Linked DNA regions of Arabidopsis thaliana. Each later gene encodes a partner of the first gene's protein in a complex. Each region holds a gene or a part of one and is shown in the gene's direction. Other genes may lie near its edges.

What was found. The genes of interacting proteins can lie anywhere in the genome.
Region 2: AT1G69800 (region 1) and KIN10 share a complex: the UniProt entries of both Arabidopsis thaliana proteins name them as parts of the probable heterotrimeric complex.
Region 3: AT1G69800 (region 1) and SnRK1.3 share a complex: the UniProt entries of both Arabidopsis thaliana proteins name them as parts of the probable heterotrimeric complex.

The regions. Positions count from the first base shown.
Region 1 is NC_003070.9:26,273,575-26,278,007, reverse strand, and holds AT1G69800 (Cystathionine beta-synthase (CBS) protein), read left to right. Parts: upstream 1-1,678; 5' UTR 1,679-1,682; coding exon 1,683-1,730; exon of another isoform or gene 1,731-1,863; coding exon 1,864-2,080; intron 2,081-2,194; coding exon 2,195-2,637; intron 2,638-2,716; coding exon 2,717-2,983; intron 2,984-3,055; coding exon 3,056-3,228; coding exon of another isoform or gene 3,229-3,289; exon of another isoform or gene 3,290-3,309; coding exon 3,310-3,592; 3' UTR 3,593-3,778; downstream 3,779-4,433. Other genes in the region: WRKY36 (WRKY DNA-binding protein 36), read left to right, coding at 1-20, 122-235, 324-770. UniProt on the Arabidopsis thaliana protein: Regulatory subunit of the probable trimeric SNF1-related protein kinase (SnRK) complex, which may play a role in a signal transduction cascade regulating gene expression and carbohydrate metabolism in higher plants.
Region 2 is NC_003074.8:30,652-36,711, reverse strand, and holds KIN10 (SNF1 kinase homolog 10), read left to right. Parts: upstream 1-2,224; 5' UTR 2,225-2,568; coding exon 2,569-2,634; intron 2,635-2,731; coding exon 2,732-2,924; intron 2,925-3,048; coding exon 3,049-3,233; intron 3,234-3,335; coding exon 3,336-3,518; intron 3,519-3,610; coding exon 3,611-3,742; intron 3,743-3,858; coding exon 3,859-4,044; intron 4,045-4,135; coding exon 4,136-4,225; intron 4,226-4,334; coding exon 4,335-4,418; intron 4,419-4,491; coding exon 4,492-4,629; intron 4,630-4,714; coding exon 4,715-4,951; intron 4,952-5,161; coding exon 5,162-5,275; 3' UTR 5,276-5,531; downstream 5,532-6,060. Other genes in the region: HYP1 (hypothetical protein 1), read left to right, coding at 1-136, 222-498, 585-860, 1,157-1,390, 1,571-1,699; AT3G01085 (Protein kinase superfamily protein), read right to left, coding at 5,890-5,900. UniProt on the Arabidopsis thaliana protein: Catalytic subunit of the probable trimeric SNF1-related protein kinase (SnRK) complex, a central regulator of cellular energy homeostasis, which, in response to seemingly unrelated darkness, sugar and stress conditions, activates energy-producing pathways and inhibits energy-consuming processes.
Region 3 is NC_003076.8:15,779,644-15,785,228, forward strand, and holds SnRK1.3 (SNF1-related protein kinase 1.3), read left to right. Parts: upstream 1-2,263; coding exon 2,264-2,453; intron 2,454-2,903; coding exon 2,904-3,088; intron 3,089-3,188; coding exon 3,189-3,371; intron 3,372-3,465; coding exon 3,466-3,594; intron 3,595-3,671; coding exon 3,672-3,857; intron 3,858-3,943; coding exon 3,944-4,033; intron 4,034-4,122; coding exon 4,123-4,212; intron 4,213-4,309; coding exon 4,310-4,435; intron 4,436-4,580; coding exon 4,581-4,772; intron 4,773-4,942; coding exon 4,943-5,056; downstream 5,057-5,585. UniProt on the Arabidopsis thaliana protein: Catalytic subunit of the probable trimeric SNF1-related protein kinase (SnRK) complex, a central regulator of cellular energy homeostasis, which, in response to seemingly unrelated darkness, sugar and stress conditions, activates energy-producing pathways and inhibits energy-consuming processes.

The DNA.
Region 1 (4,433 bases):
CATCATGTGAAGACCCATCAGTACGTACCATCAAAACCATACATTACATATATGTGTTTATTTACCATTTCACATCTAATTTAATTATTTGATCATATACACGTTACATGAATATATATAGATAAACGACGGTTGCCAGTGGAGGAAATATGGTCAAAAGACTGCGAAAACCAATCCTCTCCCACGAGCCTATTACCGTTGCTCCATGTCGTCAAATTGTCCCGTTAGAAAACAGGTATAATACATTCTATAATTTCTCAATCCAAATATCTGTTTATTAACAATTGGTTTTGAGTAAAAACTTTTAAAACGAATGTCTATAGGTGCAAAGATGTGGAGAAGAAGAAACCTCCGCTTTTATGACAACGTACGAAGGAAACCATGACCATCCTCTCCCCATGGAAGCAAGCCACATGGCAGCTGGAACTTCCGCGGCTGCCTCCTTATTACAATCTGGCTCCTCCTCTTCCTCCTCCTCCACCTCAGCGAGTCTAAGCTATTTCTTCCCTTTTCACCACTTCTCTATCTCCACCACTAACTCGCACCCGACTGTAACATTGGACCTCACACGACCAAACTATCCCAATCAGTTACCAGACGACTACCCTCTATCGTCCTCCTCTTTCAGTCTCAACTTTTCCTCTCCAGATCCTCCACCTCCATCATCGCATGACCACACCTTGAACTTTAGTGGCTTGCGAACACAAGCTCCGTTGAGTACAGATTCATTATTGGCCCGTTATCGAACGAGACTTTCCGGACAGCAATAAGCCAGTAACTGTATCGGTATAGCTAGACACAAGTCTAGAAAGTAACTGATTTCCGTTTTCTTTGTCATTCATTTGTTTTTCAGCCTCTGAAAGAGAGATCTGGTTTTGGCATGATATGCAAAATGCTTATATACTTGTAGATATCCAAATGTTTAAATTAGTGGATTACCTATCATATCATGGATTATATATGTATATGAAGGTTTTGTAAATTAATGGTCTACACAAATTTGATACACCAAATATTTTTTTATGCTTATAAAAATTTTAAATACAATGTTAATTTTTTTTGTTGGTGAATTAAGTAAGTATGACTATGATGACACAATGATATCTAAAATGGAAGGTGGTTTTCATGCAGATTGACAAAATCTCCCTCTTTCACTTTTGCAAAATTGTTTGATTTTTACAAAATAAACTTTAGTTAGCATCACATAAAATAGTGGGTTATTTGACAAATTATCAACACAACGTATTATTATTTGAAATCACATACGTATTGTTTACTAATTTGATTATTATTATTTTTTGCTACAGACATTTACTAATTTGATGGTCAAAATTGTAGTCACCATTAAAATTATTTACATAAAAGAATTGATTATTTTACTTCCCTCAATTATCAAATATAAATTTGTGATGAATTTGACCGAAATGAAGATGTCTGAATTGTTTGAGCCACCTAAATGTTTAGATGGTCGATTCTTAAAAAGGAAAGAAAACAAAATGACCAAAAGAAAGAAAACGTATGAAACTATGATCCATCAGATATTACTTTTAAATCAATCTTGGGCTCAGGCCCGTTACTACCGTTTTCTATCTTAGAATTCGGCCCATCCACGTCAGCGACTCCGGTTATAACGCTGTTAAACTCTTTTGACACACGACCACTTATTATAACGTCACGTGTCAATGCACTTCATCAGGACGCGCGTAACCGCCAGAAAAGCGAAACCAAAGGTCCATCTCCGACACGTTGCTTATCCGACCACACTCACCACTGTTCTAAATTCTCTCTTTTTTTTTTCCTTAACCAAAAAAGCTCTCTTTTTTTCTTCTGGGTTTCATCGTTTCCAATCTAAAATCATCGTAGATTTGTTTGAAATTCTTCAAATTGAGCCGGTATCAAGACATGGCGGGAAGTGAAGCGGTAGAAGATAAGGAGATAAAATCGGCGGTTTCAAGCTGTGAAGCGTATTTCGAGAAAGTACAATCAAGGAAGAATCTACCCAAATCTCTTCAAGAAACCCTAAACTCTGCTTTCGCCGGAATCCCAGTCTCCTCCTTCCCTCAAGTCCCCGGCGGCAGAGGTAAAAATTAGAAAGATCCCATTTTTTTCGATTCCTCCAAATTTCCTGATTTCTCGTTTAAAGTTTGAGACTTGGCAATGGTTTAGATTCAATTAGTGTTTTGTTTGATCGTAGTGATAGAGATTCAAGCGGAAACACCTGTATCAGAAGCAGTAAAGATCTTATCAGATAGCAAGATTCTATCAGCTCCTGTGATTAACACAGATCACGAGAGTTCTTTAGATTGGAGAGAAAGATATTTAGGAATCATTGACTACTCTTCAATCATCTTATGGGTGCTAGAGAGTGCTGAACTCGCTGCAATCGCGTTGTCCGCTACGTCAGCAACTGCTGCTGGTGTTGGTGCTGGAGCTGTTGGAGCTCTTGGTGTTGCAGCGCTCGGGATGACCGGTCCGGTTGCTGCTGCGGGGCTAGCCGCAGCTGCGGTTGGAGCCGCGGTTGCTGGTGGTGTTGCAGCTGAACGTGGGATTGGAAAAGATGCTCCAACTGCTGCTGATAAGTTGGGGAAAGATTTCTATGAAGTTATTCTTCAAGAAGAGCCTTTTAAATCAACCACTGTAAGTTTTTTAACAGAACATTAAGTTATTTGTGTTGTGATGGTCCTGATTGATCATGGATATATGTTTATGTTGTCAGGTTAGAACAATACTTAAGTCGTTTAGATGGGCTCCTTTTCTTCCGGTTTCAACAGAGAGTTCGATGTTGAGTGTTATGTTGTTACTCTCGAAATATCGGTTAAGAAATGTGCCGGTTATTAAAACAGGAGAACCGGATATCAAGAACTACGTTACTCAATCTGCAGTTGTTCATGGTCTTGAAGGTTGCAAAGGTAGAGATTGGTTTGATCACATTTCCGCTCTCCCGATTTCTGATCTCGGCCTCCCGTTTATGTCACCCAATGAGGTAATAAAATAAACTTTAAGAAGTCATGACATTAGGCTCGTAAACCGGTGAAATTGAACATGTTGGTTTCAGGTTATTAGCATTGAGAGTGAGGAACTTATCCTTGAAGCATTTAAAAGGATGAGAGACAACAACATTGGTGGTCTCCCTGTAGTTGAAGGGTTGAATAAGAAGATTGTTGGTAACATTAGCATGAGAGACATTAGATATTTGCTTTTACAACCTGAAGTCTTTTCCAATTTCAGGTTTATTTTTACTCACTTGTTTCTCATTACAACTTCTCTGGTAACAATGATGACTGAATGATCTCTTTGTTGATGATAAAGACAACTCACGGTGAAGAGTTTCGCGACAAAGATTGCTACAGCGGGAGAGGAATACGGTTTAGCGATTCCTGCAATAACTTGTAGGCCTGATTCGACTTTAGGGAGTGTTATAAACAGTTTGGCTTCGAGGTCGGTGCATCGGGTTTATGTAGCGGCTGGAGATGAGAATGAGCTTTATGGGGTTATAACACTGAGGGATGTGATCTCTTGTTTCGTATCAGAACCTCCAAATTACTTTGAGAACTGTCTCGGTTTCTCGGTTAAGGAAATGCTTAACCGATGATCTCTTGTTTCTCAGCTTTTTTTTGGCTTTGTTGTTTGTTCTTTCTTGGTTTAGATTTCTGAAGTTGTTGTCTTTATATCTAATTTGTAACCAACCATTTTGAGTTTTAAAGTTCTATCATTAACGACATCTTAGGATTGAAAATATATATGTACTGTAATGATTGGATAAAAAATTTTCTGTTTTATGGATTGTTCAATTTCATATTTGTGTTTGTGTAAGTCTCGCCAATTCAATGCAGCTGATTAAGTTCAACTTACAGGGAAGCCAAACTAAGAGTTTAATCAGCTTGAAACAAATTGTATAACTAACAAATGAAATGACTCACTCATGAATGATAGATCAATAACCAACCACATTACTTATCTTCTTCATGAAAAGGCTCATAACTCACCTCAACCGTTGACTACACCGCTCGATAATTAATATAGCCTGTGGGTGCCAAGATGTCACCTAGAGTCCCCCCAAACACTTCAGTGTTCATCAGATTGATTGATCGATCGATAGATGATAACAAAGTATGAACAATGAAGCGTTTAAGGGAACTCAAGGGGACATTTGACTTTACATGTTATGTCTCTTTTGCAAATGCTTCTTCTCTTACTCAACTGACCTTAGCGACAACCCAAACTGCATATTTATAGTCTATAGATACTTGCCAATGGAATTGTTTTTAAAGGAGGGACCATAGATTCTATATTCTTCATTGAATGGCAAAACATGCGGGAAATATGAGGATGAACCAAGTCGGAATTTTGGTAATAAGGAGCCAAGATAATATTTAATATTCCCATCAGTGTGCTACATAAGCACATTCTTCACAAGATCTTTCGTCCCGCAG
Region 2 (6,060 bases), on another chromosome or scaffold:
TCTCCAATGTAGTGGTGCTTGTGGCTTTCGTAGCTCTTTTGATCCTATACATTGTCCCCGTTGTATTGGTTCAAGGTCTTGCTAATCTTCACCAGTTGGAGACTTGGTTCCCTTTTCTAAAAGGAATATTAAATATGTAAGTAAAGCCCTATTTAGATAAAGATGGTTCTTCGTTTCAATTGAACAATTACAAAATCTTCTTTTTTTTCTTATGATTGCAGGAAAATCGTGAGTCAAGTGATTACGGGATATCTTCCGAGTCTCATTTTCCAGCTTTTCCTTCTTATAGTACCACCCATTATGCTTCTACTTTCCTCAATGCAAGGATTCATTTCTCATAGCCAGATTGAGAAATCTGCATGTATCAAGCTTCTAATCTTTACTGTATGGAACAGTTTCTTTGCAAATGTACTGTCCGGATCTGCCCTTTATCGTGTTAATGTGTTCCTTGAACCTAAGACTATTCCTCGTGTGCTTGCTGCAGCTGTGCCAGCACAGGTAAAGAACACAAAATTCAGTATTGAGGTTTCCGGAATTCCCTTTTCGTACCACGAGTCATGTTTATTGTTTAATCTTTGGTGTAGGCATCGTTCTTTGTATCTTATGTTGTGACCTCTGGATGGACTGGTTTATCATCAGAGATCCTCCGTTTGGTTCCTCTTCTTTGGAGTTTCATAACGAAACTTTTCGGCAAGGAAGATGACAAAGAATTTGAGGTTCCTTCAACTCCTTTCTGCCAAGAAATCCCAAGGATTCTATTTTTTGGACTCCTCGGTATAACTTACTTCTTCCTTTCGCCATTGATACTGCCTTTCTTGTTGGTCTACTATTGTCTTGGATATATCATCTACCGCAACCAGGTAACGGAACCAATCTCACTCCTAAGTATAATTCTCTGTTGATCTCTGATAAAATCATATAGGAATCAGCTACACATATTTTCGTTATATGGAATCTCACTTTTATCTTCTCTTTATATGTGATCCCTTTTCTAAATTCTCGAATAGCATCTTTAAACCGAAAGTATTTTTTGGAGCTTCAGTCATGACATAAACGTTACATCAAGAATCCATTTTCTCGTCACATAATTCTTTTTCTTCTTAATGAATCCATTGCAACTTGTTGATAGAAATAACATCACCTTTTTGTGCTGCAGCTCCTAAACGTATATGCGGCCAAGTATGAAACTGGTGGAAAGTTTTGGCCAATAGTTCACAGCTATACTATCTTCTCTTTGGTACTAATGCACATTATTGCAGTCGGATTATTCGGGCTTAAAGAGCTTCCAGTGGCATCTTCTTTAACAATTCCCCTTCCGGTTCTCACGGTCCTTTTCAGCATTTACTGCCAAAGACGGTTTTTACCAAATTTCAAATCTTATCCTACCCAGGTAAAGGCTTTAGAGAAATAGTTACTCATATTTTTGATCCAATGGAAGAAAAATATGGCTAGATAATCTTTTATTCCTAACCTAAACAAAACAAACAGAACATGATGCATAGTCCTTTATTACATTACAGCATCTACTCTAAACCTTTATATGGTGATGATGGATGTTTTACTTTTGCAGTGTCTGGTAAACAAAGATAAAGCAGACGAGAGAGAGCAAAACATGTCTGAATTCTATTCGGAACTCGTTGTTGCTTACCGAGATCCTGCACTTTCGGCATCACAGGACTCGAGAGATATCTCACCTTGAGATCACCTTTTTACTTGAGCTATTGAAGTTTGCTTATGTTGAAGCTGTTGGTTTACTATACCTGGTGCAATCCATGAAAGAACACACTAAACCGGTTGTCTTGTACATTGGGTCTTAACCGAGAATCAAGCGGTTTTTGTCTTGTACATTTGCTTACACTTGGCTTGTGTAAAAAAGAAAAAAAGTTTATGTCAATGTATCTCTCTAAACCGGTTTAAGACGGTACAAACTTTTTGAAAGATGCCAAAACAAAACGGTGGTTAATAATTTTACCACAGAGAATATTTAGCAAAAAGATGATGACTAGATGCCACGTCCGCATGGGGGTATATATTGTAATTAGTCGTAACTCTGGGGGTAATTTAGTTAAAGATTGATCCGTTTATGGAACCAAAAATCAAATAATTTCGTCTTTGATACTTGCTTGCGCCTTATAGGCTACAGGAGCGAGAGCAATGAAAGCGAGAGGAAGAATCTATCAATAATTTCTGGGTTTAAGCTGATCTCTGGATCTTCCTCAATTTTACTTTTTCAGCTCAGAAAATTTTGGGACTTTTTTTTGCTGCATTTTTTGGTTCCGAATTTTCTCCTCCGCCTTTTTTAATTTTTGGTAAGTTTCGATATCTCTCAATTTTCTTATTTCGGAAATAAAAAAAATTCTCGCCCTTTTGCAAATCAATGGATTGATCTTGAAATCGTCATTTCTGAATCGGGTACGAGAGATCCAGTAATCCTCTGCGATTGAATTATTATTAGGGTTCATATTCCGAATTGGGGATAGTCTGAAAATTGCTATTTTAAGCTCTCTTCTTAGTGTTGGTTGGTTTATTCTGGATAATAAAAGGGATCCTAATTCTCGCTAAATTCTCATGTTCAAACGAGTAGATGAGTTTAATTTAGTTTCTTCAACGATCGATCACAGAATCTTCAAAAGTGTAAAAATTACTTGCTTTTTGTTCCTATTACTCTTTTGCAGTTTGTTTTGTGTGTTGTGTACTAGTAGATCTAATATCTCTCTCTCTTTTTTTGTAGAGAATGGATGGATCAGGCACAGGCAGTAGAAGTGGGGTAGAATCGATTCTACCAAATTACAAGCTTGGGAGAACTCTTGGTATTGGTTCCTTTGGTAGGGTGAAGATAGCTGAGCATGCATTGACAGGACATAAGGTTGCTATCAAGATCCTCAATCGTCGCAAAATCAAGAACATGGAGATGGAGGAGAAAGGTACAAGTTTTGTTTTGTGTATCCATTCCACCTTAGTTGTGACTTCACGGTACTCTTGGAATATATAAATATATAGCTTCTTTTTCGTCTTCCTTCCTTTGAACTTATTTGGTCTTTGATGCAGTGAGGAGAGAGATCAAAATCTTGAGACTATTTATGCATCCTCACATCATCCGTCTCTATGAGGTTATAGAGACTCCCACAGATATTTATCTTGTCATGGAGTATGTGAACTCTGGTGAGCTATTTGACTATATTGTTGAGAAGGGTAGATTGCAGGAGGATGAGGCGAGGAACTTTTTTCAGCAGGTATGTTTTTATTTTATTTTATCAACATGTAACTTTCCAAGCAACCATTCGATTTTATATTATATTTGAGAGTTAAGAATTAGCTACTTGGCTTTGATGTAGATAATATCAGGAGTGGAATACTGCCATCGAAACATGGTGGTTCACAGAGACCTCAAGCCTGAAAACTTGCTTTTGGACTCTAAATGCAATGTAAAGATTGCTGATTTTGGCCTGAGCAACATAATGCGAGATGGTCATTTTTTGAAGACAAGTTGTGGAAGTCCAAATTATGCCGCTCCAGAGGTAAGTGCTTCAGCCCTCAGGTATCTGAGGAATACTATAATTAGGCTTGTTTCAAATGATAGGTTATAGTCGAGATCTATAAATTGTTTCAGGTAATTTCGGGCAAGTTATATGCTGGCCCTGAAGTAGATGTCTGGAGCTGTGGTGTGATACTCTACGCTCTTCTCTGTGGGACGCTTCCATTTGATGATGAAAACATTCCCAACCTTTTTAAGAAGATAAAGGTACATTCTATTACTCCTCCTCTTTCGTCTATTTGAACTAATGCTTGAATTTTTTATTTTATTTTTCGTATCACCCTTCGACTGTAACCTTTTTTTTTTCTCTTTTCGTCCTATAGGGAGGGATATACACATTACCTAGCCATTTATCTCCTGGTGCTAGAGATTTGATCCCCCGGATGCTTGTAGTTGACCCCATGAAACGAGTAACCATCCCTGAGATCCGGCAACACCCTTGGTTCCAAGCTCATCTTCCGAGGTATTTAGCTGTTCCTCCTCCAGATACTGTGCAACAGGCAAAAAAGGTAAGCCTAACGTATCTACTCTTATTTTCATTAGAGAAATCTCTATTCCCATTTTTCGATAAAGGCGTAAAAGCGCTGTCTTCATTTGTAGATTGACGAGGAGATTCTCCAAGAAGTTATCAATATGGGATTTGACAGAAACCACCTCATCGAATCGCTCCGCAACCGAACCCAGAATGATGTATGTGTTTCCCACCCACTTGTTCTTTTGCTGTTTCTTTCATTTCAAAGATTAAAAAAAATTCCATCAAAAGATCTTAAATACTGTATTCTTACCGACTGTCTTCCAGGGCACTGTGACGTACTATCTGATACTGGACAATCGTTTCCGTGCCTCTAGTGGTTATCTCGGGGCTGAGTTTCAAGAGACCATGGTTAGTCTTTTTTGTCCTTTTCGACTTTAGCAAAAGATCTTTGACGTAATGCTTCATTGTTTGATTTAATCAGGAAGGTACTCCCCGTATGCATCCAGCAGAAAGCGTTGCTTCACCTGTTAGCCATCGGCTTCCAGGACTGATGGAATATCAAGGAGTTGGCTTGAGATCTCAATACCCTGTTGAGAGAAAATGGGCTCTTGGACTTCAGGTTTTGATATTTTCTGTATTTATGGTATAAAGACTTCAGCTTTTGATATATATGTGATTAATATTGTAACAATTTGATCGCACAGTCTCGGGCTCATCCCCGTGAAATAATGACGGAAGTCCTGAAAGCCCTGCAAGATTTGAATGTATGTTGGAAGAAGATAGGGCACTACAACATGAAGTGCAGATGGGTTCCTAACAGCAGCGCAGATGGTATGCTCAGTAACTCGATGCACGATAACAACTACTTTGGAGACGAGTCCAGCATAATAGAGAACGAAGCAGCTGTTAAGTCGCCCAATGTTGTCAAGTTTGAAATTCAGGTAAATCCTCTTCTCCACTTCATGATACATATCGGTTTCCCGTACGACATTGTTTCTGATGTGTGATTTCGAGTGAAAGAAAGCTTTGTGTATTAGTGTCCATGGCCATTTTTGTAACTGAATTAGAACTAGAGTGAATCTTCATGAATCTAACTATCAATCAATATTTTCTGGGCTTGATGACGTTTGTTATTGTTGATGGTGAAACAGTTGTATAAAACTCGGGACGACAAGTATCTACTGGATTTGCAGAGAGTACAAGGTCCTCAGTTCTTGTTCTTGGATCTGTGTGCTGCTTTTCTTGCTCAGCTCCGAGTCCTCTGAATACTAAACCGGACCTCTTCAAGAATAATCCCCACTTATTCCTTTTTTTTTTTTTTTCTTATTCGTCTAAGAAATTATTTAGAAAACGTAACCCTTTTTTTCTTCTTCTCTTTCTTTCTATTTCTATATGCGTGCTCTACTCAAATACCTCTTTTAACTTAAATGTAAGACTGAGCAAGAGTAAAAAAAAGACACTTTGTACATAACTTGTAGTGCATCATGCCACCAAGATTGATTTTTGTTTTTGTTTACTCCATATTTCTTATGATTAAAATCAATAAGTTAAGGGAAAGACATTTTGACAAAAATTGAAGGAAAGATGTTTAAATTAGTTTCATTGAAAACAAATTAGCAAATTCAGAAGTAGTTGTTTTTGTTTCGTGTATTATTTGATGGGTCAATATTACACTATATTTTTTGTGTAAACAAATTAGCAAATTCAAAAATAGTTGTTTTTTGTTTTTGTCATCCTACTAATATTAAGACATTGAAAAACGAACATTTAGGATGAGCTTGATGTGTTTATTTCGAACTAAGATCCAAAAACTATACAAACTCAAAAACAAGCCCAAAAAGAATTTCAAAAGTTTCCAACGTGTGGTTTTACCTACCAGTTAATCTTCTCCTGCAAAAAAAAAAAAAACACATCAAGTGTGAGATAAACTCTCACAAAAATACAAGGAAATTTGTAATAATAATAAAAAAAGACACAATTATCTTTTGGTAAACCTGAAATTGAATAATTTCACACTGACTTGGGCTTTTTTTTTTAAATGAAAAATTAA
Region 3 (5,585 bases), on another chromosome or scaffold:
ACGAAACGATATACTACGGGTGAAATCGTAGATATAAACAATTAAATTTTATATATACATTATCTTAAACACTAAACAAAGTAAACAATATTAATAAAACAAATATCTACATATACATTCTATATAACATATTTTATTAAAAACCTAGCCCCGCGGTATACCGCGGGTCAAAATCTAGTATATCCTAAAAATTCACCGAAATCTCTCCAAATCAATTGTTTTTCTAAATTCCACCAAACCCTCCTAAATCTTTAATTGAATACATATATCTCTTTGTGTGTGTAAATTTATATGTATATACATAGAATGTTTGGTTTTGTTTAGACTTTAATTGATAAGTGTTAGTTGAGAACCTGATTGTTGATAACTGCAACACATTATTCAGGTCTCTTCTGTTGAAAATTTTATGGCAATAATCCTTTTCTTGTGGCAATAATCCTTTTCTTAGCGATTCAGGAGGACACGAGGCACACTGATATTTTTTTTGATTACATATACAGATTTGTTCAAATTTAATGTATTGTTTTAGTCTTTTTCTGTTGTCCATTTATTTTCTAGCATACACCTCCACTTTGAAGTTATATTTGTCTTTTTTTGGTAAAAAAAACTAATTTAGTTTAAAAGAAAAAAAAACAGACTTAATAAATAATCCAAATAAATTGTTTCAATCATATACCAAATAAAGTAATGTTTATTTGTTTACTTGTTTACCATCTCCATGGTGTTGTCTATTTCCTAACGATTATCATTGATTTTTTATCTTTTACTTTAAAAATAAAAAGTTAGACAAATCTTGACGAATTTTTTACATACATGAATTTTTTTTGGCAAACCCGATAAAATGGTTCATAGTGATAATAGAACTGAACTGAACATAAATTGAAAAAAAAAAAATCAGCTAATCTATGGGTCTGTGGCAGTTCTAATGACTCTTTCAACAAGATCTAGCCATATTTTAGTGTATGTGAAAGGGCATGCAAAGAAGATATAGTCTTAGGCTTTTCTCGTTTCCCACAAAAATACACTATTTTGAACATTTCATCGCGGTTTTGAATAGTAATTTTAGTTTTAGTTATATAATAACTTATAAAAAAATATTTATAATACAAAAAAATCTTTTTAAATGTATAATCTAATTTTTATGGAAATGTAAAAAGGGTGTTACACTTTTTTCAGTACGTATTAAAAATTTATCTCTCATCACAAAAATCTAAATCACAATATTTAAAAGTATTAACTAGTAAATCTACTTCAAATTAAAGATTATTATTACTATTTAAATATCTCACCAATAAAAACTCATTGATTTTTTCTAATTTCTTACAAAACATTCTCCGTTGGAAATTTTCTTTATATATGTATATTCTAAATTAAAATAAGAAAGAAATATTCATTGTATGGTTAGTCAAAGTACCCACTCACATTAATGGCAACTTGTATATCAGGAAAGATATTTCTGTCTTCAAAATGTTGAATAATTAGATTCTAAAAACTGTATAAAATATTAAAATCTAACCATTTTACTAATATATTTTATATTTTTGTCATAATTAGGTAATTACTATTAAGTTAAAACAGAAACTGATCTACTTCTTAACATGGTTGTGTGTAAATTAATTTATTGTTTAATATGATTCATGAAAAAAGTGTGATACCATTAGTCAACAGTGTGACTCAGATTTACCTCAGCAAAGGAGAGTAAAAACAAAGGAAAGATGATAATATATGTGCCCATAGACTCTTTTCTTGTACTTTTCCTCAATTTTCTAGTGGTGCAATTTTTCGTGTGCATGCTCATATAATTTGTATCATGGGTTCCATTTTTTTCTTGCATCAACCATACTCTATAAGATTATGTTAAGAGTCTTCTACGTCTAAATCATTTTTCCAAAAAAAATTCTGTTCAATTTGAAGGTTTTTGTTAGAAACAAAATCTATGAATTTTATGAAAATTTACTGATTTTTATCGGTTTAGACAATCAGTCAAACCACAAATTTCTTCCTTCAACTAGGGGACCTATTCATATAGTGAACGAAATGAATTTTGCTAAAATATGATTTTGATTTGGGGCGTATCACCTTTTGGTGGATTTTCTAGTTAGATTCACCATCAATTATTTTTTATTGTTCATTTTATAGGTAGTTTTTTTCTCATAATCCGTCCATTTTATTGATATTTTACCTTGATATATATTTTTGTTATAGAGGTTTAATTATATATTTCTTTTTTATATTTCAGGTTTTATTATCTATAGTAATTAAAATGGATGGATCATCGGAAAAAACTACCAATAAATTAGTATCGATTCTACCAAATTATAGGATTGGTAAGACTCTTGGACATGGATCCTTTGCGAAAGTGAAATTAGCACTGCATGTAGCTACTGGTCACAAAGTTGCTATCAAAATTCTTAATCGCTCTAAGATTAAGAACATGGGTATTGAGATCAAAGGTATGTATTATTTACTTCAATTTTGTTACTCTTTTTTCATTTGTACAAAAGATTAGAGGAGGTATAACACCTCTCTAAATGTATATATAGATGTATCTTTATTTTTCTTCACGAGATCTAATAGGTCTACGAGATTTCGGCAACCACCATGATCAATAATTTTTGGTTTTGATAATATAATTACAAGTTTATTTGGTATGGATTGTATTTTAATACTGAGAAATCAGAAAAATATTTTTATTTTAAAATCTGTTTTTTTCTACGAAAATACTTTATCCGAATCTTAGGTCTCGAAGCCGAAAGACTGTTCATTAATATAGGTCACTGTTATGATTTGTTTTTTTTTTTGGACTACTTTATGTGGCAAAAAAATATTACGCTTTATGTCTTATATAATCGTTGTTATTTATTAGTAATCTTAATAAATGAAATTGTTTAAGTCTCTTGTAGTACAAAGGGAGATCAAAATTCTCAGATTTTTGATGCATCCTCATATCATCCGTCAATATGAAGTTATAGAGACGCCAAATGACATTTATGTTGTGATGGAATATGTTAAGTCTGGAGAACTATTTGACTATATTGTAGAGAAAGGTAAATTACAGGAAGACGAGGCTCGTCATCTTTTTCAGCAGGTTTGGTATATATATAGTATTTATCCAAACATTTTGTATTTCATAAAACCTTATATCCTTTTCGATTGGCAACACTTTTATTTAAACCATATATTCTCAGATCATATCTGGTGTAGAGTATTGTCATCGCAATATGATCGTTCATAGAGATCTTAAGCCCGAGAATGTGCTTTTGGATTCGCAATGCAACATAAAGATTGTTGACTTTGGATTGAGTAATGTCATGCATGATGGTCATTTTTTAAAGACTAGTTGTGGAAGCCCTAATTATGCTGCTCCAGAGGTATAAGAGATTAACATATTCTTCATTTTTATTTCATGAATTTGGATATATATTTGAAGTATCAATTACTCACACCTGAAACTTATTTATATAGGTTATTTCAGGAAAACCATATGGACCAGATGTAGATATATGGAGTTGTGGGGTGATATTATATGCTCTGTTGTGTGGTACTCTTCCTTTCGATGACGAAAATATTCCTAATGTATTCGAGAAAATAAAGGTATTAATAAACAACGATCTTTTTATAAAAATCATATATATTACACATGGTTATGAATTTTTTCTCTATTTCTTTAGAGAGGAATGTATACTCTTCCAAATCATTTATCACATTTTGCTAGAGATTTGATACCGAGAATGCTTATGGTTGATCCTACTATGAGAATTAGCATTACTGAGATTCGTCAACATCCTTGGTTCAATAATCATCTTCCTCTTTATCTTTCTATTCCTCCATTAGATACCATAGACCAAGCTAAAAAGGTTAGAATTTGTTTTCATTAAATTGTACCAAAATAACATCATTTTTATGAATTCAGTTAATTTTGTATCAATTTTACTCTTTCTAGATTGAGGAGGAGATAATTCAAAACGTGGTTAACATAGGGTTTGATAGAAACCATGTTGTTGATTCTCTTGCCAATAGAATCCAAAACGAGGTATGAGTGTTTTCATATTTCATATAATAATCCTATTATACTCAAAATAGTTTTATAAATGATACTCAAGTTAAATTTCGTTACTTTAGGCTACAGTTGCATACCATCTAATCCTAGACAACCGAAACCAAAATTCTGTTCCCAATGACCCTTTCCAATCCAAGTTTAAAGAGATTTCGGTACTTACTCTCTTTCTCTACAACCTGAATTTAAGAAAAATAAATAAACATTACTTCTCTATATAATTATATTTTCGTTTTAATCCTACAAATATAGGATGGTATATTTAATTCGACGTTACCAGTTCAAAATATTACTTCACATGTTGGCCATTCATTTTCGGCATTGTATGGACTAAAATCCAATGTCAAAGATGACAAAACATGGACCCTTGGACTTCAGGTTAGTCCATGCATGGTTAATGTTTAATCCATTGTTGTTCATGTTACTTTAGCATTCAATTTCGTCTCATGTTTTCTTAATTTTCTTTCTATTCAAAACAGTTTATCAATATATATATCAAAATAATTGTTTGGAATTTTGACAGTCTCAAGGGAGTCCTTATGATATCATGACTGAAATTTTTAAAGCTCTTCAAAATCTAAAAATATGCTGGAAAAAAATCGGACTCTACAATATAAAATGTAGATGGGTCCGAAGCTTTGCTTACTATAAGAATCATACAATTGAGGATGAATGTGCCATCATCTTACCGACCGTCATCAAATTTGAAATTCAGGTATATTTATCCAATTTAAGATATTATACTATAATTTAATAGTCCATAAATAACAATTTTTTTTGTTTTGATGCGAATATAAAATTATCAACAATTTACATTGTTAAAATCTATTTAGAGCAATTTCTTAAATGCAAACCTAATTTGTATCATTTTGGTTGTTGTTATAGCTATACAAAGTACGCGAAGGCAAATATTTGCTGGACATCCTAAGAATTGATGGACCTCAGTTTATCTTCTTTGATCTATGTGTTGCGTTTCTCAGAGAGCTAGGTGTCCTCTAAAGCTCAACCATCACTGGTGTTTTAGATGATTATTGCGGTTAGCTAGGTCCTCTAAAGCTCATTTCATCAATGTTTTTTCGATGATTATTGCTTCAATGTTTTAAATTCAATTATGTTTTCTATGTTTCTGTATTTATGGATTAAGTAATCCTTGACAATAAACAAAAAAAAAAAGAAGATAGATTGTATTTTTTTTTGCATTAAGTTTTGGAAAATGCATGTACTTTTTACACTTTCTCGATTTATGATGCCAATTTTGTTTGAAAAACACACAGTACATGCATTTTCATAGATTTTTTTATATTTCTAAAATATAATTTAATGAAACCACATTTGATCAATTAACTCTGTTTAGCAAAGTGATTGATCACAGATCAAGTTGAATATATATTTACCTTCTAAGAGATTACAAATCGGTGATTGATCAAACTAAAGACCAAAGATACACAACCAACTCTCATGGAGCTTCACGAGAAACTCCTCAGTCAGACACACAATTTATTTCTCCTCATCTCTTAGAATTCTCATA